Nothobranchius furzeri: one gene and its partners. The protein of the gene in region 7 interacts with the protein of the main gene of each other region in a biochemical or structural test. Links are inferred from orthologs where the notes say so. Each region holds a gene or a part of one and is shown on either strand. Other genes may lie near its edges. The genes, in order: trim23, ubiquitin-protein ligase E3A, nedd4l, uba1, prkn, E3 ubiquitin-protein ligase RNF14 and ubiquitin-conjugating enzyme E2 E1.

Region 1 (4,706 bases), on a different chromosome or scaffold from region 7:
ACTGGCTTTTGCTAAATTACACACTTCTAAGTACCATTGACTAACATAGCAGGCATTAGTGATGGTCGGGTGACTCATATGATGAAAATAATAATAATAATTTATACTTTTTTATCTTTCTGTTGGACATTCTCTGCATTTGACCCGTACCTGAGGCTTAGTGGGCTGAGATCGAACGGCTCACCTTTTGATCTACCCCCATTCCGTCATGGCCGCCCATATCTGCTTCTTGTTGCTGACTAGTTATTTATTGCGTATCTTCTGTTTTGACAAGTGAACCGATCAGCAGTGACAAAAATAAATATTTTATTACTGTAACTATTTTATCAAGTTGAAATGGGTACACTAGAAACTACTGATCACAAAACCATTTCACCCAATATAAATTGATGGTGGCTCAGGGGTTAGTTCACCCGGTAACTGGTGGGTCATCATCAGTGTGAATGGGTGAATTATTGACTGCAGTGTAACGCACTTTTGGAGTCCCTGACTTAGAAAAGCACAGTACAAGTGCGATTTTTAACTGCATCAGCAAGAGAATCCCTCCATGCTGGAGTAACACTTGAAGTTCAAAACTAAAGCCCAGTTTTTACACACTGACCTTTGACCTCGGTGGGTGCTGGGGTGGTGTTTGTTGTGTGGGAGACAACTGAAGCCTCTATGCAGCTGTCGGCTACTTTCTGTCCTGCACACATTGCCTTCAGGGTCTGGAAGACCGCTTGGGGAGCCACGTTCATTTTCAGGAGGTCCACTATGATCCTACAGGAGGGCAGAAACGAATCCTTTACTCATTCGCCGCGTGAAGAACCACATTTCTACCGGTCTCGGTTCACTCACTTAAAGACTTCTTGATCCACAGTGATGCCTGCAGCCTGAGTCAGTTCAAACAGCTCACTTTCTTCAGCACTCAGGATTTTCTTCTTCTTTATGGCATATTTCTGCACGTTTGCTGTGACCACCAGAGCAGGGAAGTCAGGAGCAGATGGCCCCGTCTGCTGTGTTGGCTGAGACATATCAAGTCCACCTGAGTGGTGAGAAAATGGCATTTATGCGCGAACATAAAACGTTAGCCGCGCAGAATAAACATATGGCGAAATTCAACCGCTCACTGAAAGGTAAGTAAACATAAAAACAGGTTATAAACAACAAAAAATACGTTTTTAATCAAACATGTGTTTATACCGTTAAAGCCGCAGCTTTTAGCGTGTAGAATCCCGCTTATATCCACAACTCCTCTCTGTAAACACGGCGCGTAGAAAATGCGTCATCATCACGGAACGTTCACGCAGCATGATGGGACATGTAGTTAGAAGCCTGTGGTTTGTTCTCGATAAATGTATTGAACGAGTAAATAAACATTAAAGTTGAGCCAGTTAAGCAAAGCATTAGATTTATATAACAAATAAAAAAAGCTGAAGCTGCTTGGTGGTCGTTTCAACCACGGACTTATATGGTTTAAAGGGTAAAAAGTAAAGACAATTAAAAGAATGAAATTACAGAGTCCTCTGACTCTGAAAGGCGCTATACAAATGCGGGTCATTTATCGGTTGTTTATCACTATGCGATTTATTTAGTGAACGTGGGTTACAAAATTACTACAAAAAGTATACCAAAATTGACACCGCGGAAGTTGTTGAGGGATTATCCTCTCACGCATGCTCAGTTCTCTCGCTCGCCGTCGTCGAAGAATGGCCGCCGCTGCAGCAGGAATAAACAAGCAGGGCGCAGGAGCGACGATGGAGACCTGTCTCCGGCACGGGAGGGGAGCCAGTGGAAGCACCGTGAAGGTCGTAAACATGTCACAAATTTCCGCAGCTAGGTCGTTATTGCTGTGAACATATTATTTGGTTAGCTTTGGTGATAAATGTCCGCTGGTTCAGACTTGCTTGATGTATTTCTAGTTGGAAGCTAAGGCTGCTGCGTTGGCGTTGGTCGCAGTGGGTGCCAAATACGGATTTTGACAGTGTAATAGCTGTGCAAACGCGTTTCATCATGTTATTGTAGCCGTTTATGCATTCCAGAAGACTCGTTTGTCATTAAGAAGCGTTTGCTGCGAGCTAGCACCAGCTCGAAAACCGCCGGTTGGCATTAGCACAAGTTTCTGATCGCTGCAGCCTTATAAACAAAAACAAGCAATCAGCTAGTCAGTGCATTATAAGGGTGTACAGTAGCAGCTGTTGGAAGAATTAATTTTAGTTTACAGAATAAAATGTGGGCAAAGCGTCTCGTGATGTTTACCTTGGGAGTCACTATGTCAAAGTGACTGCAACACCCTGGGATTTTTTTATCTCATCACTATTTTTCAAGTACCTCTGCTTTTCTGCATCAAGTCAAACCTAAAGTTACAAATTAAAATTCCTTACAAGTGTGCGTGATCCTGAGTGTGGAAGTCACCTTGCAGCAGATACAGACAGACAGACACATAGACAGGCAGTGTTCAAGCTGTGCTGTCACTTGCAGGTGCTGGAGTGTGGTGTGTGTGAGGACGTCTTCTCCCTCCAAGGTGACAAGGTCCCCCGTCTTCTGCTCTGTGGCCACACCGTGTGCCACGACTGTCTCACCCGGTTGCCCCTCCACGGCAGAGCGGTCCGCTGCCCCTTTGACCGACAGGTCACCGAGCTGGGTGAGTGAAGGACATAACATAATTTGGCCTTCGAAGAAGGATGCAGATTTGCAACATTTGGTAGAATTTTATTGAACTGAACAAATTCTGAGGATGCCTGGGAAAATGACAAAAATATTTCTTCAATCACTAAAAACAAACAACTATTCATCTCAGAAGTAACATAACATCCAAGTGGTATTCCTGACTGAAATTATCTTGGAGTGGCAAAGCACAGAGAATACACAGTCATCATAAGATGCAGGGTGTACTTTACTGGTTCTTGGACGGCAGATGCAAATATGCTGTTAGGCTGCAGAGAAAAGAGCTCACAATCGAAAACAGTCTAATGTAGGGAAATAAAACATGAACACATTTCAGATCCAGACCTTCCTTCGTAGTAGGTTTGATTTGACTTTGTCCTAAAACTTTGTGTAGTCTTGCAGTATTTGTTTACATCAACATCTCCGTTATTTAAAGTCATGCATTGGTGCTGACACTGGAAAGTGAAACTCAATTCAGTTTATTTATAAAGCGTCAAATAACGACAAGTCGTCTTGGTGCACTTCACAAAGTAAAACATAGGGATGTCCCATTCCGATATCGGAGGTCATTCCATATCAGCCCAAAAACACTGTATCGGATTATATCGGATGGCATCAAAAGTCTCCTATAAAAGCGGTTCGTTAAGGTTCACATTTTTGCAACTGTAGCTGCCAGATGAGCAGCTGATGGCAATGACTCTTAATTGGCTCACAGATTTTATATAAGCCACACCCTTCCAGAGAAAATGGCTTGGGTTAAGTTGTTTGTAGAGAAGATAACACTTTTGAAGTGTTGAAATTATGTCTTTGGTCTAAATTCACCTCAGCTGCACAGTGCCGACTGCATCCCCACGTAAGTTTTGCTGTATTGACGCTTTTGTTTGGGTTATTACTTCGACACTCTATAGTCATTGTTTGTTATTCTTGTCCATCCCCACTCAAATCTACAGATAAAGCAGCTTTAAGGACTTATTGGTTTGTTTAGCATCCTTGGCCAGTGGAGCAAGGTAAATGTGAGAATATAATTCATTTCTGTTATGACATCGAAGTTGTGTTCACCTTTTATTTATGCTTTGTATATCTCTAAACAGTTTTCACAGTGCAACTCATGGAGTGAAGTCCAAGGCATTGGACCAGAGAAACGAATAAAAGTTTATGCACCCGTCGAGGCTCTCCGTTCTTTTCTTCATGGTGCCAGGGGCAGCTACAGCAACCAATGGTTACAAAAGAAATTTTTCATACTTATTGTTATTGGCTGTTGTTCTCCAGTTGAGTAATATCAGTTGATCAAGCCTTTCATACATTCCACATTAGGAAACGGGTAAAAGTATGATTTGTGCTGATATCGTATCAGATTGATATCTGTAACGGTCAACACTGAAGGCTGCAACATCGATATCGTATCGGAAGTGAAAAAGTCGTATTGGGACATCGCTAAAAATATCCAATTGACGTGCATGAGTTTTAGACCAATAATGAAATTCAGCAAGACAATAATTTTGTCCATTTAGCGTCTCTCCATGTGTGTGGAAATCATGACTGTACGGTGCTGGAAAATCTTGAAAACTCTGAAGGTGGTTGAATTGAATCTGGACAAAGGTGTAAATGTTCTCTGTTGCACTTGTAGATTTTTCCTTCAGTACCTTCTAAGCAGAGCTCCACTCGATTCAGCCCAGTTTCACTAGTAACGGGTACCAGGTCGCTGCTCCTTTATTTGTCTGCTTCAAAGTGGTTCCAAGTGTACCAAACTGGGACGAAAAACGCAACGTCAGAGGACTGCCAGTCACTGATTGGCTGGGGGAGGAAGCATTGGATGCTCTGGAGTGTTTCACCTTCCTGCTCACAGAGTGAAGGACAAAGGGAGTTTAACCCTTTTCCCAACATTGCTACTCAGCCAAAAGCGGCTCGGAACAGCCAGGGTTAGCACAGCTCCCCTCACTGTAGTTGGTTTTCTCCGCCAACTCTGTGATGAAAAGTGGGTGCACTCCTCATACCAGGTCAGTAGGTATGGGGAGAAAAAAGTCTCAAAAGATTTGTGTGTGTGTGTGTGTGTGTGTGTG
Region 2 (3,926 bases), on a different chromosome or scaffold from region 7:
TTAACCCAGAAGAACGTGATGGACCGCCAAAGAGTTCTCTGTGATCAGATGCAGCAGAACTCGATACGTCAATATCGCAGGGTTAGAAATAAATCACAGAACAGGTTTTTTTTTGCCTTCGTGTTGCCCTAATATTCAGATAGACTTTGATTTGGTGTGTGTGTGTGTGCGCGCGCGTGTGTGTGTTCACAGGAGTTTGTTGCACAGTATTCAGAGTATGTTTTAAACAAAAGTGCGGAGAAACAGTTCAAAGCGTTCAGGAGAGGCTTCCACATGGTCACCAACGAGTCGCCGCTCAAGTACCTGTTCAGACCCGAGGAGATCGAGCTGCTGATCTGTGGGAGCAGGGTGAGACCCGGACCTCTCAGGTCACCACTTGTCCTTGTTGACTTGTGGACTCTAAAGTCCAGATCTGGCTCTCTTCCAGAACCTGGACTTTTATGCACTTGAGGAGACGACGGAGTACGACGGCGGTTATAACAAAGATTCTAGAATCATCAAGTAAGAATGGGAATGTTCCTGAACAGCTGGCACATGTATGTAGGGAGTGGGCTTGTGACGATTAACCTTTGACCCCACAGGGAGTTCTGGGAGACGTTGCACTCATTCAGTGAGGAGCAGAAGCGCCTCTTCCTGCAGTTCACCACCGGCACCGACAGAGCGCCTGTGGGCGGCCTCGGCAAGCTGAAGATGATCATCGCCAAGAACGGTCCTGACACAGACAGGTGAGCTGAAAACTCCACAAGTTGGATGAGAACATTTTAAAAGTACGACAGTTTTTGGTCAAGTCCAGGGGCCTCGTTTATAAAACTTTGTGTAGATTCACTACTGATGTTCTCCTTAGTAGCGATAAAATATTAATGATGATAATAATAATAATGAAGCCAGTTGTCGGGGTCTCCAAAGTGTTTTACACTACACACTGATGGTGACCACTAGGGCTGCAGCTATTGAATATTTTGGTATTCTAATGGTATGCTGCTAAAAATATGAAAATAGAATAACACATTTGTAGGGATGTAAAAAAAATATCGATATGGCAATATATCGTGATATTTTTTCCAGCAATATTGTATCGATATTCAAAAGCCGTGTATCGGAAATATCGATATGGTAATATATCGTGATATTTTTTCCTGCGATTATTACATCGATATTCAAAAGCCGTGTACCTAATTCTTGAAAGAATTTACATGCAAACATTTGTGTATTTTCATTTCATTTTGTGCAATTCAGTCGCCACCCGCTAGTTGGCAGCAGTGTGCAACGGGTTTTGTTTCCACCATTGAAATGTAAATCCCTCCATCATAGTTCAGATACCTCATGTTAAACACGTTACGTATCACTTTGGACTGTTTATTGAACATTCTTACAATAAATTCAGTAAAAAAAAAATAGCTTGTAACGTCTGACTGAATGTATTGTGATATATCGTATCATCTCCCCTGTATCGTACAGCTCAGTAATATGTATTAAATAGGTGCTGTCTAGTTCCCTCTTTCCCATCTGATGTTAACCCTTTAAGCACCAAAGTCGCAATATTGCGACAAGCGTCATTACTGACTTTAACGAGCCACAGCTACAAAAATGATCCCTCATGAAGTTACTACTTTACGCCAGAAGATAGTGGAGATGTGTAACTTCAGCCTAAGAAACACTTAGGGTGTGTTTATATTGAAAATTTCGTAGTTTTTAGAGTTTGAAAACCGCCTCCCGCCGAGATGTTCCCGGTCGGGGAGAAGACGAGCGCAGCACGAAGAGGGCGAATATTAGAGGGATAAAACTTAAAGTTGTTTGACTCTCTGAAGAAGAAATTCACTCATCCAGCCGAAAAAATTGATGCTGCTGCAGCGCGCAGCATCAGACAGCTGGTGCTGCACGAGTAAGGTGTGTGTAGCTTACACACTCCAAACATTGGGTTTGAAGTGTGTTTCACCGTTTCTGGGGCATGGTGGATGTAGAAATAATGGTAAAAACACAGTTAATGTGACAGACGTAGCGGCAATGTAAAAAAAAGCTGTAAAAATCAGCAGATGTGTTATGTATGGACGTCAAAGTGTGCCACATAATCATAAAAATATTCTTTCCCTTGGATCAAATGATTGTTATATTCAAGGGAAGGGCATTCCTGAAGCTGTACAAGCCTAAATACACCTGTCAAATATGGCTTAAAAAGTCTTTTTCTGGAGTGAGACCAAAATAAATATCAAAAACTACAATAAATAAGGTAAACAATGTAAATAAATATTCTAAAGAGCTTTATATTTGTACATATCAAATAAAAATGTCAAAATATAGTAAAAATACCAAAATAACATGTAAAAATAAGAAGGGACACCATTACTTCATCCATTTCAGCACGACTACAAGGGAGGTCCATTGCTTCCTCCCCAATGGTCTCATTCCGCCGCAATCTCCGCAATCTGGCACCCAACTACTTCTCCTCTCTTGTTGCCTCCACTCTTCCATCTCCCAGCACATTCTCTGCTTATGAAGTGAATGAAGCCACCGAGTCACTCTGCTCCACACTCTGCTCTTGTCTTAATAACTTGTGCCCTTTAGCCACTAGACCTGCTAGATCCTCTCAGTCGCACCCTTGGCTAAATGATACCCTCCGGTCTCTACGCACCAATCTTAGAGCTGCGGAACGGAAATGGCGCAAAACAAAAGATCCTGGTGATCTATTGGAATTTCAGGAATTACTGTCCTAATTCTCTGCCAGCATCACTGATGCAAAGAAAGCTTTCTACACTGACAAAATTCTCAGCTCTACTGACTCTCAGAAACATTCACAGAATTCAACATTCAAATCTCTGCTCAGCCCTCCATCTCCACCTCCTACCAACAATCTATCAGCTGACACCTTTGCCTCATTCTTCACTGACAAAGTGGCAGCTATAAGCTCCTCTTCTCTTTGCCATATACACCACCTCACTGGGTGAGATCATTCGATCACATGGCTTCTCCTACCACTGCTATGCAGACGACACCCAGCTCTATCTGTCATTTCCACTGGACGACCACACTGTCTCTGCACGAATATCAAACTGTCTCTCTGACATATCAAAATGGATGAAATCCCACCATCTCCAACTCAACCTCTCTAAAACTGAACTACTTGTCATCCCAGCAAAACCATCAATACAGCACAGTATCTCAATCCAAAATGACTTCCTATCTCTGGCTCCTTCAAAGGCAGTTCGAAATCTGGGTGTTGTGATTGATGAACACCTGACCTTTAAAGATCACCTTTCTCAGTGGCCTAGTGGTAGAGTGTCCGCCCTGAGTCTGGGAGATCAGGGGTTCGATTCCTGGTCGGGTCATACCAAAGACTTTGAAAAAATGGGACCCAATGCCTCCCTGCTTGACACTCAGCATTAAGGGGTTGGATTGGGGGGTTAAACCCCACACCACTGCTGACATCCACAAATTGTTGGTGGGGATTTTTCTTCCTCTTTTAGAGTTTAGTCATTCACAACCGTCGTGTTTTTTCTGAACCCCACTTAATCGTGAGAGTGCTACACGCTAGCTTAGCATTAGCCAGTCTGCCCGTGGTTAAACTCTGGATCTTAAACTTTGGAGCATTTCTGCCTTTGCGGTCTGTTTGCTTGGTGTTATGGTTCTGAACGACTCATTAAAGGAAGTAAAATGCTGCGATGGACTCTTTATTCACTTCACACACACACACACACACACACACACACACACACACACACACACACACACACACACACACACACACACACACACACACACACACACACACACACACACTTCACTGTCATATTGAATTGTTGGTAATTGAAAAGGTAGCTTAAGATAGTTTTAGAGCAGACTGCTTCTAATTCACCATTAGCATTGTTAGCGCATTGTTAGCCTCTAGCCTGCTTCTCCTGAAATTTGAGTAAAACAAAAAGATGCTGTGG
Region 3 (4,603 bases), on a different chromosome or scaffold from region 7:
TTTGTTGTACGACTGTCATTCTTTTTCCTTCTTTACATTTGTTCCCCTGTTCAATATGATACACCTTCAGTGGATCGTTGCGGCTTGTTTTAAGGCCAAGATGAAGCACTGTGGGCTGTACCACAACCAGTCACAGAAGTTAAAACGTGGCCGCCACTTTTCACCCTTAAATGTCAAATTATGATACAGGCTTTGGCTGCTCTTTGCTCGCTCTCCCACTACTGCTGCCCTCAGGCAAAGTAAATGCTGATGAATCCTGTTGCGATCAAGCAGTGTAATCATAAAGTATTTTGGTTTGGAAAAATGTCTCTTTCTAGTGTACTTTCTACTCTTGCCAGATGATTTCATACAAGTTCTTAAGTATTACTTCAGTCCTTAATCCATTTGGTGTTGCCGACAGGGATCACAGCTGAATTTTATCACGGAAACAGAGTGACCTATAAAACAGCCATCCAGTTAAGTGTTTGGCAGTGATTTTGGAGGCAGTGTGTCTATTCTGTGTCGAGTAGATGCATCTTTCCCTGGAGACGACTGTGCTGTTTGCCCCTATCAAAGCTGCAATCTGTCAGATAGTCTGCTCTTTGCTCTGCTGGAGCCTTTAGTCGCGTCCATTTTTAGTAATAACTTCCCAAACAAATCCTTTTCAGTTCCATGGCTGCAGGAAGGCTGTAACTTACCATTTTTTCTTGTTGACTTTTTGATGTGTATTTGTCTAAAGGCCATTTAGTCTGTCCAATGGTTGGAAAACCATTTTTATCTTCTGTACCTCATTGAAAGAAGAGGCTATAGATTGTGTGTTTGTTTGTGGACATGTTTCTTTGCTTTTCTGACCCTCTCTCTATTTTCCTCCCGGTGATGACATCAGAGAGCATTGTTTAAGAAAAATGTTCAAATCTAGTAAAGATCTTCAGATACATGTAGGCAGAGTAACGAGAGACGTCAGAGATGAGAATGAAGGAAAGGGTGGACCGTAGTTAGCAAGAGATGACTCAGGGATGAGGGATTTGGTTGACACTTGAGGGCAACGTGGGGTTGTAACCAGAGGTGGTGGGGCCATTTTCAGTCACATGACTGACAGGCAACCCACTGTCACCTCGGTAACCAGGAGCAGGCAGGCTCTTATCCAGTCACGTCAGGAATGCTGGCTGTCACTCGACTAGGCTATTTCTGCTGTCTGTTGCTAGTACATGGTGTTACCAAGAGTATATTTTTTATAAACTTTTTCTTTTGTCTTGTCTTCACCTCCTCTTGAAGTATGTAGTGTTAAGTTGTCAGCCGGTTTACAGTTACTGTAAGGTTTCTGTGGTGTGACTTCTTTCTCTGTACGGTTTGATGTGGGAAGAAAAGTTGTGGAAAAGACTTGAAGAGGGTGGGAAGAGAAGGGGGAGAGAGGGGGGTGAGTGGTGGAAGAAAAACGGGAATCACTCATTGAGCCAGCCAAAGGAGAGGTGGGCGACACGAGGAGAGGAGAGAAACAGCAGCCAGTCTGAGAGAAAGTGAGAGTGAACGGGAGCTGAAGGGACGGGAGGCAAAAATGGCACAGCGTCTGCGTTTGTACTTTGGATCTGGCCGCAGCAACACAGCCCCGGAGATTCTGGAGACGGGCTCAGAGGAGCAGCGGGGAGAAGGTGAAGTGCTTGGAGAGCTTTGCGTGCACCCACCTCCATTAAGGCCTTCTCAGGAGTTGGCTGTGCAACACGGCCCGCCAATGATTTCTGGTTCGTGCTCGGAGCTTTCACTTAAACGCAGCTCCTCTATGTTCATACCCCAGCTCGCCGCCTACGCTGAGCCACGTCCCACCAAAAGCTCGTCCATGCACATTTCCCTCCAGCGCTCAAATGGATCAAGTAATCGGGAGCCTGGTGGCCATGCCGATGATGTCCCACCACCTTGTTATTCTCCAGGACCTGCACCTGCTTATATTGAACCTATAGTGAACTTTCCACAGCAGTCGCCGCCTCCATACTACAGCTCAGATTCCATAAACTCGCAATGTTGTCTGACAGAGCCAAACCTCCCGAAACACACAGTCTTCAGCATTGGTTCCAGCAGACGTAAGACACTCAGAGGAGGTCAACCAGGTATCACTGTTGGTGCCGTTTCTTTACGGAGCTATTCTACTGATAGTTCAGACATCCAGCGTTTTAGGATTCTTCCCTATGGTGGTGATGGCTGGTCTGTCCAGCAAAACAACCTGGACCCATGCTTTGGTGATAACGCAACACAAAGACTAGTTTTTCAGCTTCAAAAGAACCAGAACCATACCCAGAGAAGACGGCTATCTCCTTTATCCCAGGAGGAATGTACAGACTCTGGACGTGGCAGCCCAAGTGGTGTCCGTACGATGCATTATCCAAAAATAAGACTGCAGCGAAGCTCTTCCCATCAGAGGCTGTTATTGGAGAGTAAGCAGAAAAATGGCACAGACTTCCAGACTGTACAGGACAATCAAACCAGTCTGGAGCCGGATTCAAAAAAAGCCTCTAATTGTTGTACTTTTAAAATCACTGGGGAAGCCCCCAGAAGGCAGCAACATTTCAAGATCTACTTTACCCCTGGTGGAGATTCTGATAGTGACCTAACAACACTCAACCCAAAGGTAATGATTGTGAGAAAGTTTTGTTAGACTCTGGCCCTTTTCGAAGAAGTAATGGTATAGTAAAGTTTTTTGCTGCGTATTTTGCTTTGTGGATACATGCAGAGAGATCTCTGGAGTACAAGAACAGTGCGGTCACATTCTGGGAAGTGAAAGCACAGACACAGTTGCTGTGCCAGATCACACTCACATTGGTTTTCTTTCACTTCTTCACCACAGGTATTTGACGCCTTATGCACATCATCCCAGTAATTTATGAAAGAATAACAGGAAAAGGCATGTGGATGAAAGGATAATTTGTCCCCCGACACTTGTTGGGTTCTGTGCCACAGAAATGTGACACCCAAGTTTTGATAATACGTCCCAACTGCAGTCAGAGGTCTTTAAGAGTTGGCCCTTTCTATCTTTAGTCTCTTTCAAATGTGGTTGTTGATTTTAAGAGTAGGCAGACGGCCGTTCTTGTGTTCTTGCCTGGTATGGATGCGTAAATTTTGCAGCTGCTGTGCAAGTGATTAAAACTAAGATGTAATTACAGCCTAAGCACAGATCAGGCTAGTTCACTTTTAATTTTGCCCCCCCTGTTATGTAAAACTCAATCTGTGGGGCAAAACTGTTCTAGAGCTTTAAGTTTATTCATTGTGTCATTTTAGCAGCCTCTTTTTTGTTTACAAACTGCTACTGTATGCATTTCACATATACTGCTTTTGTTATAAGAAACACAAAGAGATGTGTGATGCTAGAGCAACAAGGATATCCTCATTTAGACTATAAAGACAGGTCTTCCCCATCTAATCGCCCGGAGCTGGAGTTGCCCCCCCCTTAAATCCTGGGCATTGGATAACAATAGTGTGCACTTGTTTGCCTGTGTGTGCCAGACAGACTTGCTGCAGACAGCTACGCCAGAAAGCCATATGGTCATTACAGCCCTGCCTTGATGTCCCAAACAAAACCTTGATCTTACTGAAACAACAAAAACCACGAAGGTTACGTTAGGTGGAGGCAGGGAGCGCACGGAGGGGTTGGGGGTTTGCTTTTATTTTTGTCCTGTGGCATGTGGCCGGGGTTCAGATCACTGTTGTTGTGAGGGGATTGTCCCTGTCGGCTCTGATCTGTCTGAGTGGAATGCCATTGTAATTCAGTTGTGTCAGCACAGAGACCATTAAGTAGGTGGGTCAGGGTTTGACACCTCAATAACAAACTGGACATCTTCTCGCTTGGATCGTAATTGTTTTGTTAACGAAAAAGTTAAAAACCTTTATTCATTGCAAAGTAGAGGCCGACCGATATGTTCAAGTTTTTCTATATCTACCATCGGTCGCAAAAGTTTTTAAAAGCCAATTTAAAAATAGGCAGCACGTCCTCTGCTGCCCGCGGATAAACGAAGGAAGCGACACCACCAACGGCGTCAGCCGGATGATGCTTGCAGCTGCAAAAGAAACGTTGCAGGTAAATAAACCTTTTCCGTGTTTTAAAAAAAACTGAAAGATGGAATTTGAAACTCAACACAGCAAGAACACACCAAAGATATATGTATATATATGTATATGTGTATATATATATATGTGTATATATATATATATATATATATATATATATATGTATATGTGTATATATATATGTATATGTGTATGTATACGTATATGTGTATGTATGTATACGTATATGTGTATGTATGTATACGTATATATGTATACATGTATACGTATATATGTATGTATATGTATATATGTATGTATATGTACATGTATGTATGTATGTATGTATATGTATATGTGTATATATGATAATCAGCTTTAGATATTGGCCATGGGCATGAAAATTCTTTAAAAATCACTATCGGCCTTTAAAAAAACCATATCGGTCGGCCTCTATTACAAAGCTGCTGTTTTAAGACTTGGTTTATTGTGATTTCATTTCTCTAAAGACCTACACCAGTTAGCCATTACAATATTAATTTATCCAGTTGTTCAGCAAAAGAGAGGGACATCTGAGGGTTCCCTGGATTCT
Region 4 (4,610 bases), on a different chromosome or scaffold from region 7:
GTCCTACTGAACCAGCACGTTCTAGGAGCACGCACGCCTCTCCTGCCACCGTCCGTGCACGTCCAACTCAACATTCCTCAGCCTCGACCACCCCTCCACCGCTTCCCACTTCTCCAAGACCTGCGCTCCCATCTCTCCCTCACCTTGCCATCCCTCCTCCGTCTTATCCACCACCATCTCCACCCACACAGGCCTCACCCCAGTCTGTCAGGGGCAGACTGGGGTGAGGGCAAGGATGGACAGAGAGCTGCTGCTCATCCAAGCCAATCACCAAAAGCTGGCATGAACTGGGGGCTTTAAAGATAATGTGCATGATGTTATACACAATTACAAAGCACCTAAAAATGGATTTATTATTTATTTGGGAGTGTTAAAGGATTCCCTCTCACTGAGAAATGGAACGTACTTGATAACCAAAAGTATCTAAACAATGTTATTATGGTTGTAAATGCAGATCAAATTACTGTTTTGGTAGCCTCCCAAATGAAGGTTAGGGTATAATATCTCCCCGCCTGTCAACGGCAAAAAACGAGAACTCCAAATGTTTTCACTTCTTAAATCCAGATTGTGTGCCTCAGTATCAGCCTGAGGCACACAATCATCACAGCCCCATTCAAACATGAAGACATTGTATTATATCAATCTACAAAAGTAAGAAGAGTGTGAATCAAATTAACAAGCAACTGCAAGCGATAACACCTGATCAAATCCTATAAACTGTAAATACGTATAAAAAGTTAGTTTCCTTATGATTACCTTGTTTCCAAGATGTTAACCTCTTCTTGTTGAAATTATCATTTTAAGCAGCTTATCCCATATCCATGTTTTTCATTTCCTTTTGTTACGTAGCTCGTCATTTTCCTGTAGGGCTTAGTCACACAGTTGTCTCAAAGTACCCAAAACGCAGCTGATCAAACGATACACTACCTGATAGAAAGTTGCCACATTATGTACATCAGGTTGATGAAACTGAGTTTTGGGAGATCCTATCTTGTTAGAAAGCTGTGTGAAGCATTTTTAGATGCAAGATTGCATATAAAGGTTTTGCAATCACACAGGCACGTGTTTGGTTTTAAAGTTTTAGAAAAAATAAAAAGCTTGCAAACTTAGTTTTCACTTTTCTCTAGTTTTGTCTATGTATACACTTTGGTAATGTCATTTTAAAAAGAAATTTTTATTTGCTCCTTTTAAATTTTGTTTTAAAAGTCCCTCTTTGTTCGACGACGCTTTCTGATGTGCATGCTATTCCGGACTAGAAATCATCCCCTGTGTAAACTGTGCTCTGTTTGCAAGACTTTCAAATAAAGTAATTAAATTAAGCTAGTTTATTTATTTATTTGTTTATTTATTTATTTATTTAGCAGCTAACCACTGGCAACATCTGAATTTCTTATCTACATTCATTTTCACCAATCTTACTACATGTCCCATGAAGCTTTGCGTCTGTCTGGTTTCGATTAGTCCATTCCTGTGAATAGGCGATTATGCCGAAACAGTTTTGAATCAAACACTTTACGCCTGAATAAATATATTAGCTGTGTAAATGAAATATTTGTGCTCTTGTTTGTATGGAACATTGAACACAATTCGACGGATGAGCTAATATACTTTCTTTGGGCGAACCCTCTGGATACGAGTATTGGATCTGCCTGTAACGTGCACATGTTGCTGCTTTGCTTTGCTTTCAACTGAAATAGAATGAGGTGAAGCGGTCTCGGAGCAGCCGGGCAGAGAGACGTCCAGTGGAAAAAAGCTCACTCAGAGCCCGCCAGCCTGATATACTTTTCAGTTTGCCGTCAGCGGCTGTGTTGATTTGTCATATTGTTTGTTTGGTTTCTCGCTTAGACAGATTTTAACATTACAAATCAGGCCGAGTAATATCGGATGTGGTAAGTTCTGCACACTTGTGTAAGCTCTCGCCTCGATCATGTTAGCCACAGCTAGTTAGCTAATGTTAGCTGGGTTGCTAACATAGCGGCACAAGAAGGGGAAAAGTCGTTGGGTGCTTGGATAGCCTGAGAGCTAACTGTACACAAGCTAACAACTACGCAGTCTTTTGATCTGTGTTATTGATAGATGTTAACGTCAATTACCATTTGCGAATTGAATCTTTTCATCAACCAGCGCAGTTGTCCGTTGCTATCAAGTAACTGTCACGTTACTGTTAACGTAAAATTAGCAGTTACACGTTTCATGTGCACGAGACACACAATATTATGTGACACATTGTAGCCGCACAGCTATAGTTTCTGCCAACACTGGATGCATTCTATTTTGAGAGACATACTCTGGCTAACTTGTCCTCAGAACACGTTATTTCATGGGGTTTTTTGAGATTACGTTGCGATGGCACGAATCTCGGTGGTAATCATCATTAGTGGTCAATTCAGCGTGTCAGGTTAGGCAGCCGTTAATCCTGACCTAATTGTGCTGGGTGCATCAGAATGGTGGGATTTTGTTTTACCCCATGATTTTGTAACCGGAACATGGAAATTGGGGATCCCCGCGACACGTGTACCCGAGATTATGCGGCCCAGTCTTTTTCTGGGCCTTTGTCATTTGCTGGGCACCCCCTCCCCCAATACTCATCTGCAAGGAATGCTCACCCATACCCTCAGCCAAAGTGCCCTGACGCTCAGCATCACTTCAGCTTTCAACCAGCGCACCTAATGTTGTGTCCGTTTCATTCATGGCTGCAGCACTGTCAGAGTTGGTAATAATTATTCAACTCTTCAGTAAGATATATGGTCTATTCTTGCTCACAAATGTCCACGCGGACGTGTTTTCATAGAAGTTGTATTTTTAAATGATTTATTTACATTTTCATAATATTTTGGCATACAAAGTGTTAGCTCTGTGCAGGCCTGCTTCTTAAGTACGATGACATTACAATGTAGTGTCACAGAAACAAAGATGAGATTTTGCTGGATTTTGATCCAGTCTTTTGCGCTGCCTTGGATATGTTTTATTGTACTTTTGTCTTCAACTGCGTTAGATATTCTATAGTGTTTCGTTTCTAGAATTATGAACTAGTTTTTACAATTGTTAGAGCTTCTGTAGTTCATTGTACAGTGTTATACAAGGCACGCATGCATCCTCTAGTAGCAGGGGCGGGCGAATGTAGAAAGAGCCAATCAAATAAGTGTAACAGAGCATTTTGTGGCAAGTCAATGTGTCATATAATAGTTAAACTTTTAACATTCATTTACCCTAGCTATGGAAAAGTTGACGTTAGTTTCACTTGATCCACAATCAGCATTTCAGATGTGTATGTTTAGACAAATAATATCTCGTTTATGTGTACTGAGCTGTCTCTACCTGGGTGTTCTTTACATTTAGAATGAATCAAGTAGGATTGTATTGTCTTTAGAAAAACAATAGTAGCCTACTGAAAAGCTCTTGTGTTAGCATTTAAACTAATGTACATATGTGCAGCTTATCAGTTAAGACTTAATTAAAGGACTTCGTGGAATACTGGAATATAGAGAGAGCTCTTACTGAGGTGTACTCTAGGGCTGTCGCAGTTGAGGAATTCCCCCTGCGGTGATTCAGGGTTGCTTAATATTGCGGTGTGCGATATTATTGCAGCCCTTTTTTATTGCAGTACTTTTTTTTATTGCAGTACTATCTAAACATAATGTTTACACATTTAAAAAAGGTTAAAAATTGCCGTGCCTTCTTTAATAACACTTTACCGAATGCAGATCAAAGGGCAGTAACAACACAGATCGCAGTAACGTTTGTTTCTCCGACAGTCGGAGTCCGACTGAACTTAAAAACAACAAAATTCAGGAGAAGGTTAAACTTTTAAATGCAAATTTGGCTGCAGCATCTAACAAATAAGAAACAAGTCCCCATTTTGTTTAGTTGTTTAAAATCAAGCATAAAAAATTACATGTACCGGGCGCGGGCACACTATCATTTCACTTTCACACACACGAATGATGGTGATTTATAGCTCGGTCACGTCCTTGTTACCCACAAGGAAAACCAGCATGTTAACCATATACGGTTTGAGAGAGGATCTGAGAGGGGTGGCAACATTTCCAGCAACACTGAAAACCCTCTCGGATGGTGCGCTCGTTGCACTAACACACACGTACTTGCGTGCGACTCTGGCGAGCAAAGGGAATCTCTCCCGGTTGTTGCTCCACCATGTCAGGGGGGTTTCTTTAGGGTGAATGCATTCCTCCTGCAGGTAGCGAGTGAGCTCCAGCTCGGCTCAAACTCTCTTCGGGACGGTTGCAGAAGCAGTGCTTCCGGGACTTCAGGAGGTCTCCGAGCGTTTATTTATTTATTTATTGCCGCTGGAGGCAGCTCTGTCTCGGCCAAGGACTCTGGCTGCGCAGCAGCTGACGTACTGAAAACCAAAGTGCTCCCAAAGGAGTGAAGTAACGTTTCGTTTTGATACCAGTGCAGCCATCCTTCTCAACATGCATCATTGAGTTGAACCAAGTTCAGTAATCGCGGTGGCCCATGATGCAGCGCGGTGGGCTTCTTCATATTGCAATATTTCATTTTTGCGGTTACCGCGACAGCCCTAGTGTACTCAAAGATTTAAAAAAATCTGTTGTTGGTAGTTGTGACTTTTGTCTGGAGAAAGCCAGATG
Region 5 (3,926 bases), on a different chromosome or scaffold from region 7:
GTTCACAATTTTTGTCCTTCATATCTATCTGATCTCATTCACACTGTTTCTCTAGTCTGGTCCCTAAGATCGTCATCTTCCATCCACCTTACTGTTCCATTCTTCTGTGCCACCTCCATGGTCCTCAGATCCTTCAGATGATCCCCCCCCCCCCCCCCCCTGGAATTCTCTGCCACAAGTCATCCGGAACTCTGACTCCCTTCCCACCTTCAAATCCAAACTAACAACTCACCTTTTCCAGACTTCATTTTGTTTATGAGATAGCTTGTTATCTGATTTTTGTTTTGTTTTCCTAGGGTTTTTATGAGTGATTTGTTGCTGCTTTTAACTTTTAGCTTGACTTTTATCATTCTCGTACAGTGACCTTGAGTTCCCTGAAAGGCGCTTTAAATAAAATGTATTATTATCATTATTACTATTATTGTCATTAAAACCCTAATGTACTCATCAGCCTTTGAATGAATTGTTTCTTATGCTGCATCGTCTCCACTGTAATCTGGGATGTAATTGTTCAACCTTTATTCTGCCTTTTCCTTTTAGCTCTAAATTATAATTTTATCTGTGTATATTTTAATTTGTGTTCTCCTGTTTATGTCGTCGTGCCATTTCATGCTAATTATAAAGCACATTTAATTGCCCTGTGTTTGAAATGTGCTCTACAAATACAGCTGCCTTGCTTTGCCTTGTCTTGCCTTTACAATAATGAATGATTCAAAAATAACAGTTTGATCTTGAAATGCCTTATTTCAGATCTTAAATACACCAAATGAGTCTACTTGATGATTTAATAATGATTTCGTAATTAGACTCATTTGGTGTATTTAAGATCTGAAATAAAGCATTTCAAGAATAAACATTCATGCTGATTCATTCATTACTGTAAAGCAGTCGAGACATTATTAAATCACTTTAGATAAAACATTCATTGTAGATGAAATGGAATATAATATATAATATAATCAACCCGTAAAGTGAAGTAAATAATTTTATGAGACTGAGTAAGATTCTTTATTAAAGTTATAAAAGAGTCTCGTCTTGTGCCTGCAGATACTGAAACAGGTTGTCATGGCTTCGACCTCTTGGTGGCAAGGTCACAAACAATGTTTTCTGGTTTGGAGACCAAACAGTTAACCTGTGGCACACTGATGTAGCAGGCTGTGGACATTGTCTTAACCTTTGTATTCCAACTTTCTCCAACTCTACAGAGGATTATTACCAGTACTACATGTGTAGCATAGTTAGTATTACCAATACTACATGTGCAGTTTACCAGAGGATTACCAGTACTGCACTTGTAGTACAGATGAGTATTACCAGCACTACATGTGTAGTACAGAGATGTGTTATCAGTGGTGGTGGTGTTACTCTCCTGTCCTCTTTTTTTCAGGGTCCATCCTGCTGGGACGATGTCCTTCTTCCAGGAAGAATCCATGGCCTCTGTCAGGCCGACGGTTGTCATGGTAACACAGCGGTAAGGGGTGGAGCTTAATCAATGTTTAATTGAGAACTGACTGAACCTTACTCTCACTGGGAAATTGGGTTCAGGAATTCTACATGAAATGTGCGTCTCACCCAACATCAGAGGATGACACGTCTGTGACCCTTGACCTCATTATGATGAATATCAGAAACGTCCCATGCATCGCCTGTACCGACATAACGTAAAACACACACACACACACACACACACACACACACACACACACACACACACACACACACACACACACACACACACACACACACCAAACAAACTTTCCATTCCTGGCACTTTGCTACCAGGACTGTAGTTACTTCTGCTACTCCCCTACAATAACCCCCACCCCCCACCCCAACACACGTTTGAAACATTCAGGCACACACACCCTGCAGGCATGATTCTCGTCCCTGCATGGTTAAAGTTCACGTTAATGCACATGGAAATGAAGATTAACTAGAGGTAGAGGAGCAATGAATGTGTTTGACCTTCTATCATCGGGGCAACATGCCAGTGCCCAGTGTTTGGCAGCATTACGTCACGCTGCGAGAAGGGGGGAGGTTAGGAGCCAAGATGCAGAACCAGGGAGACACGAGGCAGGAGGTGGAATAAACATAAAAAAAAAACCTTTATTAGGAGTGATTGTCCCAAAGTGAATCCAATAGTGCAAGAAGCCGAAACCAAAAATCCAAAAATCTTAGTATGAAAGCCAAGAGACCTAGAGACAAAGTGACCCCTTAAAGAGCAGACCTGGAGATATCCAAAAACCAAGAGATTGCCAAAAATCCTAGAGACCGGGGGGGGGGGGGGGGGGGGGGGGGCAAGACGACGCTGACACAAACAATGGACCGACAAACACAGAAAGACAGGACAGGGTTTTATACTCAGGGGCTGGGTGATTAGGAGGATTGGGTACAGGTGATATTAATAAACAAGAGGAGGAGCAGAATAGGGCAGGTGAGGAAAGCCCCAACTAAGGCCCTGTCCACACGTAGCCGGGGATCTGCCAAAATGTAGATATTTTCCTACGTTTTGGCCTGTCATCCACACGAAAACGGATCTTTTTAAAAACTCCGGCCAAAGTGAAGATCTGCGTTTTCTCCGTTTTGGGTGTCGGCGTGTGAACAGACAAAACCGGAGTTTTAAGGTCCGCAACGTCACTTTCCGCAACAAAAAAATGCTGACATCACGTGTGCGACCTGTGTTTACACTAGCCGACAGCATGGATGCCCTCAGAGCTGCGCTCGCTTTATCAATTGTCCAAGCGCTTTCTGCTTGTTTGTTTTTGCAAGCGGAATTACTGCTCCTTGCGGAAGACCACAGACGAAGGACGAGGTTAAGAACGGGGGAAGTACTGCCACCTACAGGTCTGGCATGTCCCTAACAACGTATTTATCTGGGTACGTGTGGACAGTTTTTTTAAACGAGGTGGTGTGGATGCACGTTTTGGAGGGGTGGATATTCGTTTTCAAAAAAACCCCGGCTACGTGTGGACTAGGTCTTAAACCTGTTAAACAAAGCTACTGAACTAAATAACTTAACACTGTAGAAATAAGACACTGGAGAACTAAAGATAATAAAATTAATGACCTAGGAGTAATAGAACCAAAAACACTGGAAGACAGGGGAGGATGATGCCTAAAGGGAGAAACGAACTAGACAATCTACAATAACAGAAAACTAATGATAAGAAAAGTGACTAAGGGAAACATGAGGGAAACCTGGAGAGAACCTGGAGGGGGCTGGGGACCACAGGGAGGCACCTGAGGGGGGATGCAGACAAGGAGACACACGAGGAACACAAGGAGACACATAAGGGGAACCTAGAGAGGGATGGAGAATGCAAGGAGACACTTGAGGGAGACGCAGAATGCAGACCATGACACATTAATGCGTTAGCGTAGCACCACACAGAGCACATATTAGACTCAACCCATACTTATATTTCATCAGATCTTGCCTTTCTTAATATTATGGTAAACCTATTTGGATTAACATGGAATAAACACCCTGTCATTATAAATGAATGCAGAACGCCTGAGAAAGGGTGCGTCTGAAGCATGTGGGGCTCTAACCACCACCATGTCCCTGGTGTTGTCTCAGGGAGGTGGTCCTGGTCTTCCAGTGTGCAGCGCGCCATGTGATCTGTCTGGACTGTTTCTGCCGCTACTGTCAGACTCGCCTGAATGAGCGACAGTTTGTGTATCACTCTGTGATTGGGTATTCTCTTCCATGTGCAGGTGAGGGAATGGAGACTCGGGTGACGATGTGAACAGGTATGAATGGGACCGTAACGGTATGATCTTTGTGTTTCCAGCTGGCTGTGAGGACTCTCTGGTAAAAGAGTTGCATCATTTCAGGATTCTGGGAGATGAACAGGTGACGTACCGTCACACAGGATGTGGGTGCTTGGTTCAGACACTGTGTAGCATGATGTGTCCATGTAAAC
Region 6 (4,595 bases), on a different chromosome or scaffold from region 7:
ACCGGCGGCGTCCCCAGAGCACCTGTGGCTACATTGGACCTCAACGCCAACAGTGTTTGTGTTGCTATGATTCAGTTTGCCCAGTAATTGTGGAGGCAGAGCTCCAGTCTTTGATCCGCTGCACTCATAAACTCAGCCTCACACACGGACAGCAATAACCTAACATCAGTGTGATCTTGTCTAAAATGGAGCTGAATTGTTATAATTAATCAAACATAAAAAAACTACACTTGTTGGAAAAACTAACAACAGTGTGTGAATCTCCAGTACTTACTCAGTGTTTGCAATGATTACTCAGCAGAGTTGATGCTGCTTTAGTTATCAGCCTTGTGATGAATAGCAGTAAAGTTTGCACCACTGCTAAGACATTTCTCCAAACAATTAGCGTAAAGTACAAAACACGGTAGATAACCTGCAAAAGCAAGTCAGTCGCTCAAAATGGGCTCATTCTTCAAAAGCGAGTTCCTTCATCAAAATGGATCATTTGTTCTTCAAAGCAAGTATTTATGTCAATGACAGTGTCGGTGTCGTCACAATGAAAAGTTATGACAGCAGCATCTTTGAACTATCAAGTCAAACGGTTTGAACACGTTTTCATTGTGACATGACTCTGGAAGTGCTCCCCAAAGTCATGTAGAGTCAAATCAGCGTTGTATAGGATGCATGGCATTTAGAAAACTAGAATTAAATCAAAATCAGCACAATGAATATGCACTTTATACTGTACATTTGCTACTGTTCACAGCATTTGGAAAAACAACATTTACAACAAATATAAACTCCCTTTGGCTCAGTAAACCTTACTGCAGTAGTTTTGAATCTAAAAATCCTGTAAAACAGATGGTGCTGCAAATCAGACATGGACAACTAGACGCTCCCGTTAGTCTGGCCACATATTTTCATCTACATCACAGCAAATATCAGCTCTGTCAACGCACAGAGGGAAGTATCTTCCTGAATCCACGCTCTGCATGACTCTGCTGTGATGTCATCACAAGCTGCATCCATGGCTGGTGTCACCTGGGTATGTGGACGCTGATCATACACCTTCCACCTCCAGGAAGAGAAAAACTCCTCAGTTGGATTTAGGAACTGAGAGTAGGGGGAAGATAATAAATATGATAACAATTCTGCTCCATTTTAGACAAGATCACACTGATGTTGGGTTATTGCTGTCAGTGTGTGAGGCTGAGTTTATGAATGCAGCAGATCAAAGACTGAGCTCTGCCTCCACTTACTGAGCAAGCTGAATCATAGCAACACACACACACACACACACACACACACACACACACACACACACACACACACACACACACACACACACACACACACACACACACACACACACACACACACAAATCAGAGGAGTTTAGATGTGTCCTGACCGGGATTTGAACCCCAATCTCAGTCCCAGGGCGGCCACTCTACCACTTATGAAGCCACCAATATTTTTCAACAAATGGGCATCATTTAATTCATTTTCAACAACATTTCAATGAATGAGATTAATTTTAAAAACTACATATTGTCTCTTTAATAGATAATGATAATCAGAACAGTAACTTTATCTAACTGGCTACTCCCACATATGGGCTTTCTTTCTTTTTTTGTGATTTTTGCTACCACACGAACGTTCCCGTCAGAGAGATGTAGAGAGAAGTTTAGTTTTCCCGCTTTCACTGCAATAATTCGCAGTGGCACAATATCTCCACTGGGGGGCGCTGTCAGTGGATTCGCATACCAATATTCACCGGCAGAGAAGGCGGTGTTTGGATGTGTCTCGGATGTAGCCGGATTGAGTGCCGGGCTGTGTGTAAGGAGTTGACGTCGTGACTCGTCATGACAGGAACCAATCAGGGCAAAAGTCACTTGTGCACTTGGGACAGAAAAGGTAATAAAATGAAATAAATTTTCAACATTTGTTGTACATGTCTTGATGTTGTTTGTGTTATTGTATCTTAATCACACAACAGAAAGAAAAGTTAAAAATGTGTTGCTACCACAGAGCTACTGTTTACATCAGCTAGCTGTTAGCTAGCTACAAATACCGGTGTTCTTTACCCTCGTTAGGCAATCAACCGAGTTTGTTAGCTGCTTCCATCTTTAGACATGTTATGTATTTAATCGATGCTGGTTTATAATCTAGCAACCATGGCGTCTGGCATGGTAAAAGTGGTGGTTTATATTGTGTTGGGTGCTAACTTATAAGCTACAACTTAGCTTAGCATTAGCTAAGTTCCTACAAAGTATAAATATTTGCGCATTTAATTATAAATTAGCTCCATCTGGTTATTTAATTTTGATGTCTTTAGGAAAGTTTTGAAATGTTTAATTCAGTCGACACACAAACGCGTTAGTTTGTGTTTTTCTTCACTAAGTGGTATAGTGTTAGCAGTAGTAGTACTCGTATTTGTTTCTGTTGTAAATTTTAGATGTTGTTGTTGTTCCAGGAATGTAAATGTCTGAGGATAAGGAAGCTCAGGAGGATGAGCTGCTTGCATTAGCAAGTATCTATGATGAGGAGGAGTTCCGCCGTGCGGAGTCTGCACAAGGAGGAGAGATCCAACTCTGTCTGGAGCTTCCTCCTGGTTTTAAAGTTCTTGTAAAAGGTATCGGTGATCAAGATGTGCAACTGGTGCACAGCTTCCCTACAGGCTGTGCATTTAGATTCACTACTCTGCTTTAGCCTCCCTTTTTCTTTGTTGCAGGCGAGAAGACAACTGAACACAATGTGTGTTTCTTACCTCCTTTGGTGCTCAATTTTGAGCTTCCTTCAGATTACCCTTCCACACGTCCACCATCCTTCACTCTCAGCTCTAAATGGATGACCAAATCCCAGGTAAGAGTCGTACTAACTCATCCAGGCCTTTTGTAAATGCCACATCTAGCATCTTCCTCTGGCATCCTCTTCAATTCTTCCTCTGCTCTTTGATTCTTCCAGCTGAGCTCCCTATGCCGACATCTGGATGAGTTGTGGGAGGAAAACCAGGGATCAGAGATTCTTTTCACATGGATCCAGTTTCTCAAAGAGGAGCCCCTAGAATTTCTGGGCATCCAGTCTCCCGTGGAAGTCATCAGGAACAGCAAGGCTGCTGGCGAACGAAGAAAAACTGACCTTGCAAGCAAAGGTATGATGAGGCATTTTACCAAAGCTTGCTAGTAGAAAATGTGGTTTAACACTGCAATTGCTGTTATTGTTTTTCAAATAAATTCTGTATTTTATTATTGTAAGTACTTCTCATGCCCTCTTTTGGCTTTCATTCCTGACAAAATTAGGTTGCATCATAATACTTTCCATCAGAACATCTCTTTTCTTACCCAGGTGTCTCTTCACACCACTGTTAACTTTTCAAATCCTTGAATGCACATTGGAACTTCTCTTTTTGGTCTTTTCTCCTTCAGAGAAACCAGAGGAGAAGAAAACAGAAGTAATAAAGGAGACATCTGAGCAGCACGGTTCACTGTTGTCTCATCCAGACCAGCGAGCTGTCGTGTTGATGGACCCTCATTCCGACCCCCTACGTCAGCTCCTGGACTTTGACGAAACTCAGAGACAACGGGTGTTTGACGGAAAGGTGTTCAGCTGCGGGATCTGCTTCGCGGATAAGCTGGGCTCCACCTGCCTCTGCTTTAAGGAGTGCCTGCACGTTTACTGCAAGGACTGCATGAGAGAATACTTTGAGATTCAAATACGAGAAGGCAATGTTCAGTGCCTTAACTGCCCCGAGCCCAAATGCACGTCAGTCGCTACGCCATCACAGGTCAGGCACTTCTACAGGAATGTGGCTTTTAACAAGTTCAGCTTCAGCCCAACCGTATTGATAATTGTGTTGTTTTCTACTTTATCTGCCCTGATCTCATCTCTCAGGTGAAACAGCTGGTAGACGAGGAGCTGTTTGCCCGCTACGACCGTCTGCTGCTCCAGTCCACTTTGGACCTCATGGCTGATGTGGTCTACTGTCCCCGCCGTTCGTGTGGAACTGCTGTAATGGTGGAACCAGACACAACAATGGGCATTTGCTCAGCTTGCCAGTATGCTTTTTGCACGTTGTGTAAGCTGGGCTATCACGGTGTCTCTCACTGCAAAATCACTGCAGGTAACGGCTCAGACAAACTCTCAGAAGCTCATAAGGAGTAAGGAAACGGTTTCACTTGCTACGTTTTCTTTCTGCCTTGTTCTCCAGATGACCTGCGCAGCCTGAGAGATGAGTACCTGTCAGCCACGCCTGAGGGGAAGAAGTTCATGGAGCAGCGTTTTGGGAAACAGGTGGTGCAGAAAGCGGTGGAGGAATCTTTTAGCCGGGATTGGCTGAAGGAGAACTGTAAATGCTGTCCTAACTGTGGAACAAACATTCAGGTAGACCAGCGCCCCCTAATGGAGAAACTAAAGCTCATATTTAGAAACACCAGGGCTCACCCCAAAATCCCTCTACCTCCGCTCCGCTCCGCCCCCGCCTTCCGCAGCCGCTCGCTTCCGAACTCAATTTTTACTGGTACCCGCTCTACTCCGGTGCGGAGACCTGAGGTGCGCAGACAGGCATGCATGGGATTTTCGAGATCTTGCGATACAGTCCGAGCAATAAACGCGGAAA
Region 7 (4,537 bases):
GACCGGAGCTGTTCAGCCTCCCGCAGCCGCGGAAGGCTACTTCCGTTCCGCAGAGGACGACAGGCAGCAGGCAGCCTGACGGTGGCGGAGGTCCAGACACAAAGAGTGGGTAAGTTTCACGAGCGAGATGAATGGTTCCGTTCAAGCGTTTAGTTCGGCATTGTGAAAATCTGCGCTGATTCCCAACATGTTTGCGTTCCCAGCTGATGTTGATGCGCGGCGACAGAAACGAGAAAAAGAAAAACAAAACGCTCGAGGTCGAGTCAGCAGCAGCACGGGGGGAAGGGCTGCGTCTATGTGCTGGAGCGGTCCTCTTTTTCTCATTCTTGCTTCAAACCTTTAATTGTTACATTTATATGTGTCTTAATGCCAAAGGCAGCGGTTCACAACGAGAGCTGACAACACAGCCGTCGTCTAATTTCACGTTATTATTGTTTTATCCACAAAGACTTGAGGCCCGAGTCTTCGTTACCAGTTAAGTTTTTTATGAAGCGGGGAGGACTAATGCTGGATTACTGATAGTGCTCACGAAGAAAGGTGATTTGAAGAAACATATGGCGTGTATATACCATCAGACACGTTTTAATTTATAGCTTACGATACAAAATTACCATATTTAATGTTAACCACGAGCTAGCTAAGGCTAAAGACTGTTAACCGTAGCGGAAAGCGTTACCTAACGAAAAAAAAAACAGAAGGCGAATCGCTGTGAAATCTCGCGAGAATCCTATCTCATGTCTGCAACATGAGATCAAAACAAACAAGCTAGCTAACTGATGTGTAATGTTTTGTGTTTGCACCATGGTTTGCACATGATCACATCCTGGATTTAATTTATTCTTTCGGATGTAAATGTTTTCAATATCTTAATTTTTTCTAATTTTATTCAGACTTATATATATATATATATATATATATATATATATATATATATATATATATATATATATATATATATATATATATATATATATATATATATATTGCTGCTAGGCTATATCAAGGAAAGGTGGTGCATAAATGTTTAGAAAATTAACATTTTCAAATAAATAATTTCCACAAAAACCTTTTAAAAAATAAGACTGTTTTCCCCATTATTAAGCACTTGGTTTGTTCATTTTTATTCCAGCTTGTTTTGTTAATCCTGATAAAAACCAGATGTTTTGTTTTTGTCAACACTACACATTTGAAAATGTGTTCAGAAACATAAACCTCCCAAAAGGAAAATACTATTACCTACCTTTATTCACAAGTGCTCCACATTTTTGGGTTACTTTCACTTTTCAGATTTCCTCCCATTTCTCCTCAGGTTGCGGCTCTTCTCCAATCCTAACCGGTATGTCGGATGAGGATTCCCGTGCCAGCACCAGCTCATCCTCATCACCACCTTCCTCCAGCCAAAACAGACACAAGGATACAGCTTTCAAGAAGAAACGGGAGAACAAAACCAGCATGAGCAAGACCTCCAAGCTGCTTTCCACCAGCGCCAAAAGGTTAAAAGAAATCTGTCATACAGCAATGGGCAGATTATTGTTGCTCATTAGATTCATGTCTGTTTAAAACCCCTTAAGACAACAATGTTGTTTACATATAAATATGTAACTTTTAGTAGCTGCTGATGGCAGGATAAGCTCAGAAACATGAGTAAACGACAGTAGAATTTGTTTTCATGACTTCCCCTTGTGTATTTATTTAACAGTGAAAAAAACACATTGATGGTCAAAGAGGAACTAGTTTAATTTGTGCTTAGGCGGTTGCTTCTATAAGCCAGAGTAGTGTTGTAAACCATGTTTTTAAGGAAGTACCAGTTTCTTCTTCAGTAAAAAAAAAAAAAAAAAAAATCTTCACAGTTTCAGTCTCATTCAACATTCTTTTCTACAAAAACAGTCAAACAGCATTAAGGTGTGTAAGTTAGTTTTCTGATGCCATGTTAACTAGATCATATTTATTTTTAATCACTTTGTTTGATTCTGAGTAATTCCACCTCTGATCCTTCCATCAGTAATTGATTTTTGTAACATTTGCAGAATTCAAAAAGAGCTGGCTGAAATTACCCTGGACCCTCCGCCAAACTGCAGGTGAGTTTACGGTTTTATGGTTCTTTATGTACTCACCAGCACGACAGATCAGAGTTTTGTCCTGATATTGGCTGATCCAAACTTCCTAAATGTTGAAACAGGTAAAATCATTATTATAGGTCAGTTCACAGTTCCAATACCCACACTGCACCCTGTGTCTTCTGTGAAGTGCGCTTAGAGGAAGTGTGCAGTAAGGCTCTGTGTGCTGAATTGGGACAGTGGCCGTTGCATCATCGACCACTGTGCATGCAGGGATGCCGGTTGCTGTTTGTGCTACTTTTTAAAAAAGCTTTATTAACAATTTTTAAACAGTTGACACAATTTACATTCATTGCTGTTCACATTAAATTTTAATCTTAAACATTCAGTAATGATATTTATTCATATAAATATCATTAGTCGTCTTAAAATGAACTTCTTTTGTTTGAAAATACATATTTTCAAATAAGGCACTTGAGCCATTGTTCAGTCTTTTCAAAATGCCTTCACAGCAATGGGTTGTGGGTAATACCCTTTGCCCAAGTCCGCATCAAGTGTGCAAAAGGGGTGTGGTCAATTTCCGCACTTGAGGATTGGTACACCTTGTGCCCCTGGACAGGAATGCGCAATTGAAGGGCACAAGGGTGGAAGTGTGAGTATTGGTATTGAGCCTAACACAACAACACTGGTTGACTCCTGGTTTCACAAGAACATGTGTCTAGAATGAGGAGGCGGGGCCAAGCTGGTGAGGCTGTGTTGGGATATTCCACGTCCTACTGATTGTCCCTCACAGGGGCCAGTATTACCGTGTTTTCACTACAGGAGTTCAGGGACACTTCTGGGAGAGGGAAAATTCTATAGCTCTGTCCTATCAGCTGTTTCTCCAACCAATCAGCAGAACGTAACAACAAGTCCCGTCCAGCGGCACTACCGGGCCTTTTCCTCGTACTTGCTCCAATTCAGGTTCTAGGTTGGTTCCTGAAAAGCTCTCAAAAGTGGCCCTATTGAGTCGGCCTGGTGAACGTAACGAAGGTCCAGCAAAATGACCCAGATGTTCCAAAAAAATGAAATGGGCCTTCTGTGTTGCTTTTTCCTGAGTACCGTGGGAGAGTTGAATCCAGTGAAGAACTGAATTCCAACAGCAGAATAAAGCAGGTTTAGATGGCACCACCTACAGTAAAGGTAACTAATCAGGCTTCCCACTGTTATCAGATCTATTACCATGAAGCTTCGTTGCAATAAACAAAATTATGTGTTGTCTCAGTTTGAGTTACAAATAGTTTCTTTTTCCTGAATGGAAATGTCAAATACCAAAACATTCAGTTTAAATAAGCAGCTGTTCTTCCAAGAGGAACTAAAATATTAAAACAAATGCGTTTTCATCTGAAGATCTGTATTTACAGCTGTAACTGAAAGTTGAACTTATTTAAAAAAAAAAGCTTCCTTCCTGGTACTGAAACCAAATTTATACTTCTCCGTCAGCTCCACCAGGGAGAGAGACGCACGAATGGAGACGTTTTGCCCCCATACTTCTCCGTCTCCTGGGGAGTGTTACAAAGCAATTCCCCACCAGGACAATAGAGGGCGTAGCACTGTTCCGTGTTATCCGGTCCAAGATGGTGTTTATATTGTGTTTTTTGCATTTAAGAATGGCCAAAACACACACACAAATGCCCTGGGGCCTCATTTATCAAGCTTGCTTACGCACAAAACTGGGTTGGAAAACTGTGTAAGCAACTTTCAATGCAAACTTTGGGATTTATGAAAGAGAACGTAGCGGGAAAATGTGCGCAACTTTAAGTTGACTAAGGACCTGGCTTACGCACATTTTGGACATGGAGAGCACCTGCAGTGCTGCTGCTGAGAAGGGTTAAAATTATGAAATCCTGCAGCATTATCACTTGTACCGCTTCATTTTCACACAGAACAAGAACCCCCCCCCCCCCCCCACACACACACACACACACAGAGAGCCTGAAGCGCAGAATACGGAATGCAGAATATCATCGGGGGACAGATTGAGACAGAATGTCATGCGTAGGGCTGGGAAAAACGATTATTTTTGTAATCGATTAATCTAGCGATTATTTTTTCGATGCATCGATTTAATCTAATGATTAATTTGTTAATTTGATTAGATTAAATTATTGATTATTTCCCAATTATTTGACTTGTATAGCAGTTTCATTATTACTAATTTATGTATCTCAATGAAATAAATGCAAATTTCTTCATTTGAACACACAAATTCAAAAATAAAGTTGTTGTAATAGTAGTACAATCTTATGTTAGAGATAACATTTAACAAAAACTTAAATGTTGTGCAAACTATTCATATAAATCAAGGAAAATTTATAACAAAAAATATATAAATAGCAGCAATGGTGTTTTTTAACAAACAAAATCTAACATTCACTTTGCTTTCTGCAAAAAAGTGTTCATTTTCAAAGTAAAATCAATTTAGCCTTTTCTTTTGTTCA

Evidence for each region.
Region 1: the proteins of ubiquitin-conjugating enzyme E2 E1 (region 7) and trim23 form a complex in vitro, tested with the Homo sapiens proteins (4 studies listed by BioGRID, with this or other methods). The link is inferred for Nothobranchius furzeri from reciprocal best matches to the Homo sapiens genes UBE2E1 and TRIM23.
Region 2: the proteins of ubiquitin-conjugating enzyme E2 E1 (region 7) and ubiquitin-protein ligase E3A form a complex in vitro, tested with the Homo sapiens proteins (2 studies listed by BioGRID). The link is inferred for Nothobranchius furzeri from reciprocal best matches to the Homo sapiens genes UBE2E1 and UBE3A.
Region 3: the proteins of ubiquitin-conjugating enzyme E2 E1 (region 7) and nedd4l form a complex in vitro, tested with the Homo sapiens proteins (2 studies listed by BioGRID). The link is inferred for Nothobranchius furzeri from reciprocal best matches to the Homo sapiens genes UBE2E1 and NEDD4L.
Region 4: of the proteins of ubiquitin-conjugating enzyme E2 E1 (region 7) and uba1, one has a biochemical effect on the other in vitro, tested with the Homo sapiens proteins (9 studies listed by BioGRID, with this or other methods). The link is inferred for Nothobranchius furzeri from reciprocal best matches to the Homo sapiens genes UBE2E1 and UBA1.
Region 5: the proteins of ubiquitin-conjugating enzyme E2 E1 (region 7) and prkn form a complex in vitro, tested with the Homo sapiens proteins (2 studies listed by BioGRID). The link is inferred for Nothobranchius furzeri from reciprocal best matches to the Homo sapiens genes UBE2E1 and PRKN.
Region 6: the proteins of ubiquitin-conjugating enzyme E2 E1 (region 7) and E3 ubiquitin-protein ligase RNF14 form a complex in vitro, tested with the Homo sapiens proteins (3 studies listed by BioGRID, with this or other methods). The link is inferred for Nothobranchius furzeri from reciprocal best matches to the Homo sapiens genes UBE2E1 and RNF14.

Annotation. Positions count from the first base shown.
Region 1 is NC_091746.1:63,287,303-63,292,008, reverse strand, and holds the start of trim23 (E3 ubiquitin-protein ligase TRIM23), read left to right. Parts: upstream 1-1,640; 5' UTR 1,641-1,655; coding exon 1,656-1,787; intron 1,788-2,460; coding exon 2,461-2,623; intron 2,624-4,706. Other genes in the region: mzt2b (mitotic-spindle organizing protein 2), read right to left, coding at 602-759, 838-1,013.
Region 2 is NC_091743.1:81,623,935-81,627,860, forward strand, and holds part of ubiquitin-protein ligase E3A, read left to right. Parts: intron 1-192; coding exon 193-348; intron 349-427; coding exon 428-501; intron 502-581; coding exon 582-725; intron 726-3,926. UniProt on the Homo sapiens protein: E3 ubiquitin-protein ligase which accepts ubiquitin from an E2 ubiquitin-conjugating enzyme in the form of a thioester and transfers it to its substrates.
Region 3 is NC_091746.1:58,495,178-58,499,780, forward strand, and holds the start of nedd4l (E3 ubiquitin-protein ligase NEDD4-like), read left to right. Parts: upstream 1-1,411; 5' UTR 1,412-1,534; coding exon 1,535-2,599; intron 2,600-4,603. UniProt on the Homo sapiens protein: E3 ubiquitin-protein ligase that mediates the polyubiquitination of lysine and cysteine residues on target proteins and is thereby implicated in the regulation of various signaling pathways including autophagy, innate immunity or DNA repair.
Region 4 is NC_091755.1:24,230,744-24,235,353, reverse strand, and holds the start of uba1 (ubiquitin-like modifier-activating enzyme 1), read left to right. Parts: upstream 1-1,589; 5' UTR 1,590-1,889; intron 1,890-1,927; exon of another isoform or gene 1,928-4,610. Other genes in the region: camkvl (caM kinase-like vesicle-associated, like), read left to right, coding at 1-227. UniProt on the Homo sapiens protein: Catalyzes the first step in ubiquitin conjugation to mark cellular proteins for degradation through the ubiquitin-proteasome system.
Region 5 is NC_091752.1:62,532,601-62,536,526, forward strand, and holds part of prkn (E3 ubiquitin-protein ligase parkin), read left to right. Parts: intron 1-1,387; coding exon 1,388-1,471; intron 1,472-1,545; coding exon 1,546-1,661; intron 1,662-3,580; coding exon 3,581-3,717; intron 3,718-3,794; coding exon 3,795-3,856; intron 3,857-3,926. UniProt on the Homo sapiens protein: Functions within a multiprotein E3 ubiquitin ligase complex, catalyzing the covalent attachment of ubiquitin moieties onto substrate proteins. Substrates include SYT11 and VDAC1.
Region 6 is NC_091750.1:54,468,920-54,473,514, forward strand, and holds the start of E3 ubiquitin-protein ligase RNF14, read left to right. Parts: upstream 1-1,761; 5' UTR 1,762-1,894; intron 1,895-2,453; 5' UTR 2,454-2,461; coding exon 2,462-2,612; intron 2,613-2,711; coding exon 2,712-2,842; intron 2,843-2,944; coding exon 2,945-3,131; intron 3,132-3,405; coding exon 3,406-3,764; intron 3,765-3,871; coding exon 3,872-4,100; intron 4,101-4,187; coding exon 4,188-4,360; intron 4,361-4,595. UniProt on the Homo sapiens protein: E3 ubiquitin-protein ligase that plays a key role in the RNF14-RNF25 translation quality control pathway, a pathway that takes place when a ribosome has stalled during translation, and which promotes ubiquitination and degradation of translation factors on stalled ribosomes.
Region 7 is NC_091745.1:63,675,529-63,680,065, forward strand, and holds the start of ubiquitin-conjugating enzyme E2 E1, read left to right. Parts: upstream 1-1,338; coding exon 1,339-1,493; intron 1,494-2,027; coding exon 2,028-2,078; intron 2,079-4,537. UniProt on the Homo sapiens protein: Accepts ubiquitin from the E1 complex and catalyzes its covalent attachment to other proteins. Catalyzes the covalent attachment of ISG15 to other proteins. Mediates the selective degradation of short-lived and abnormal proteins.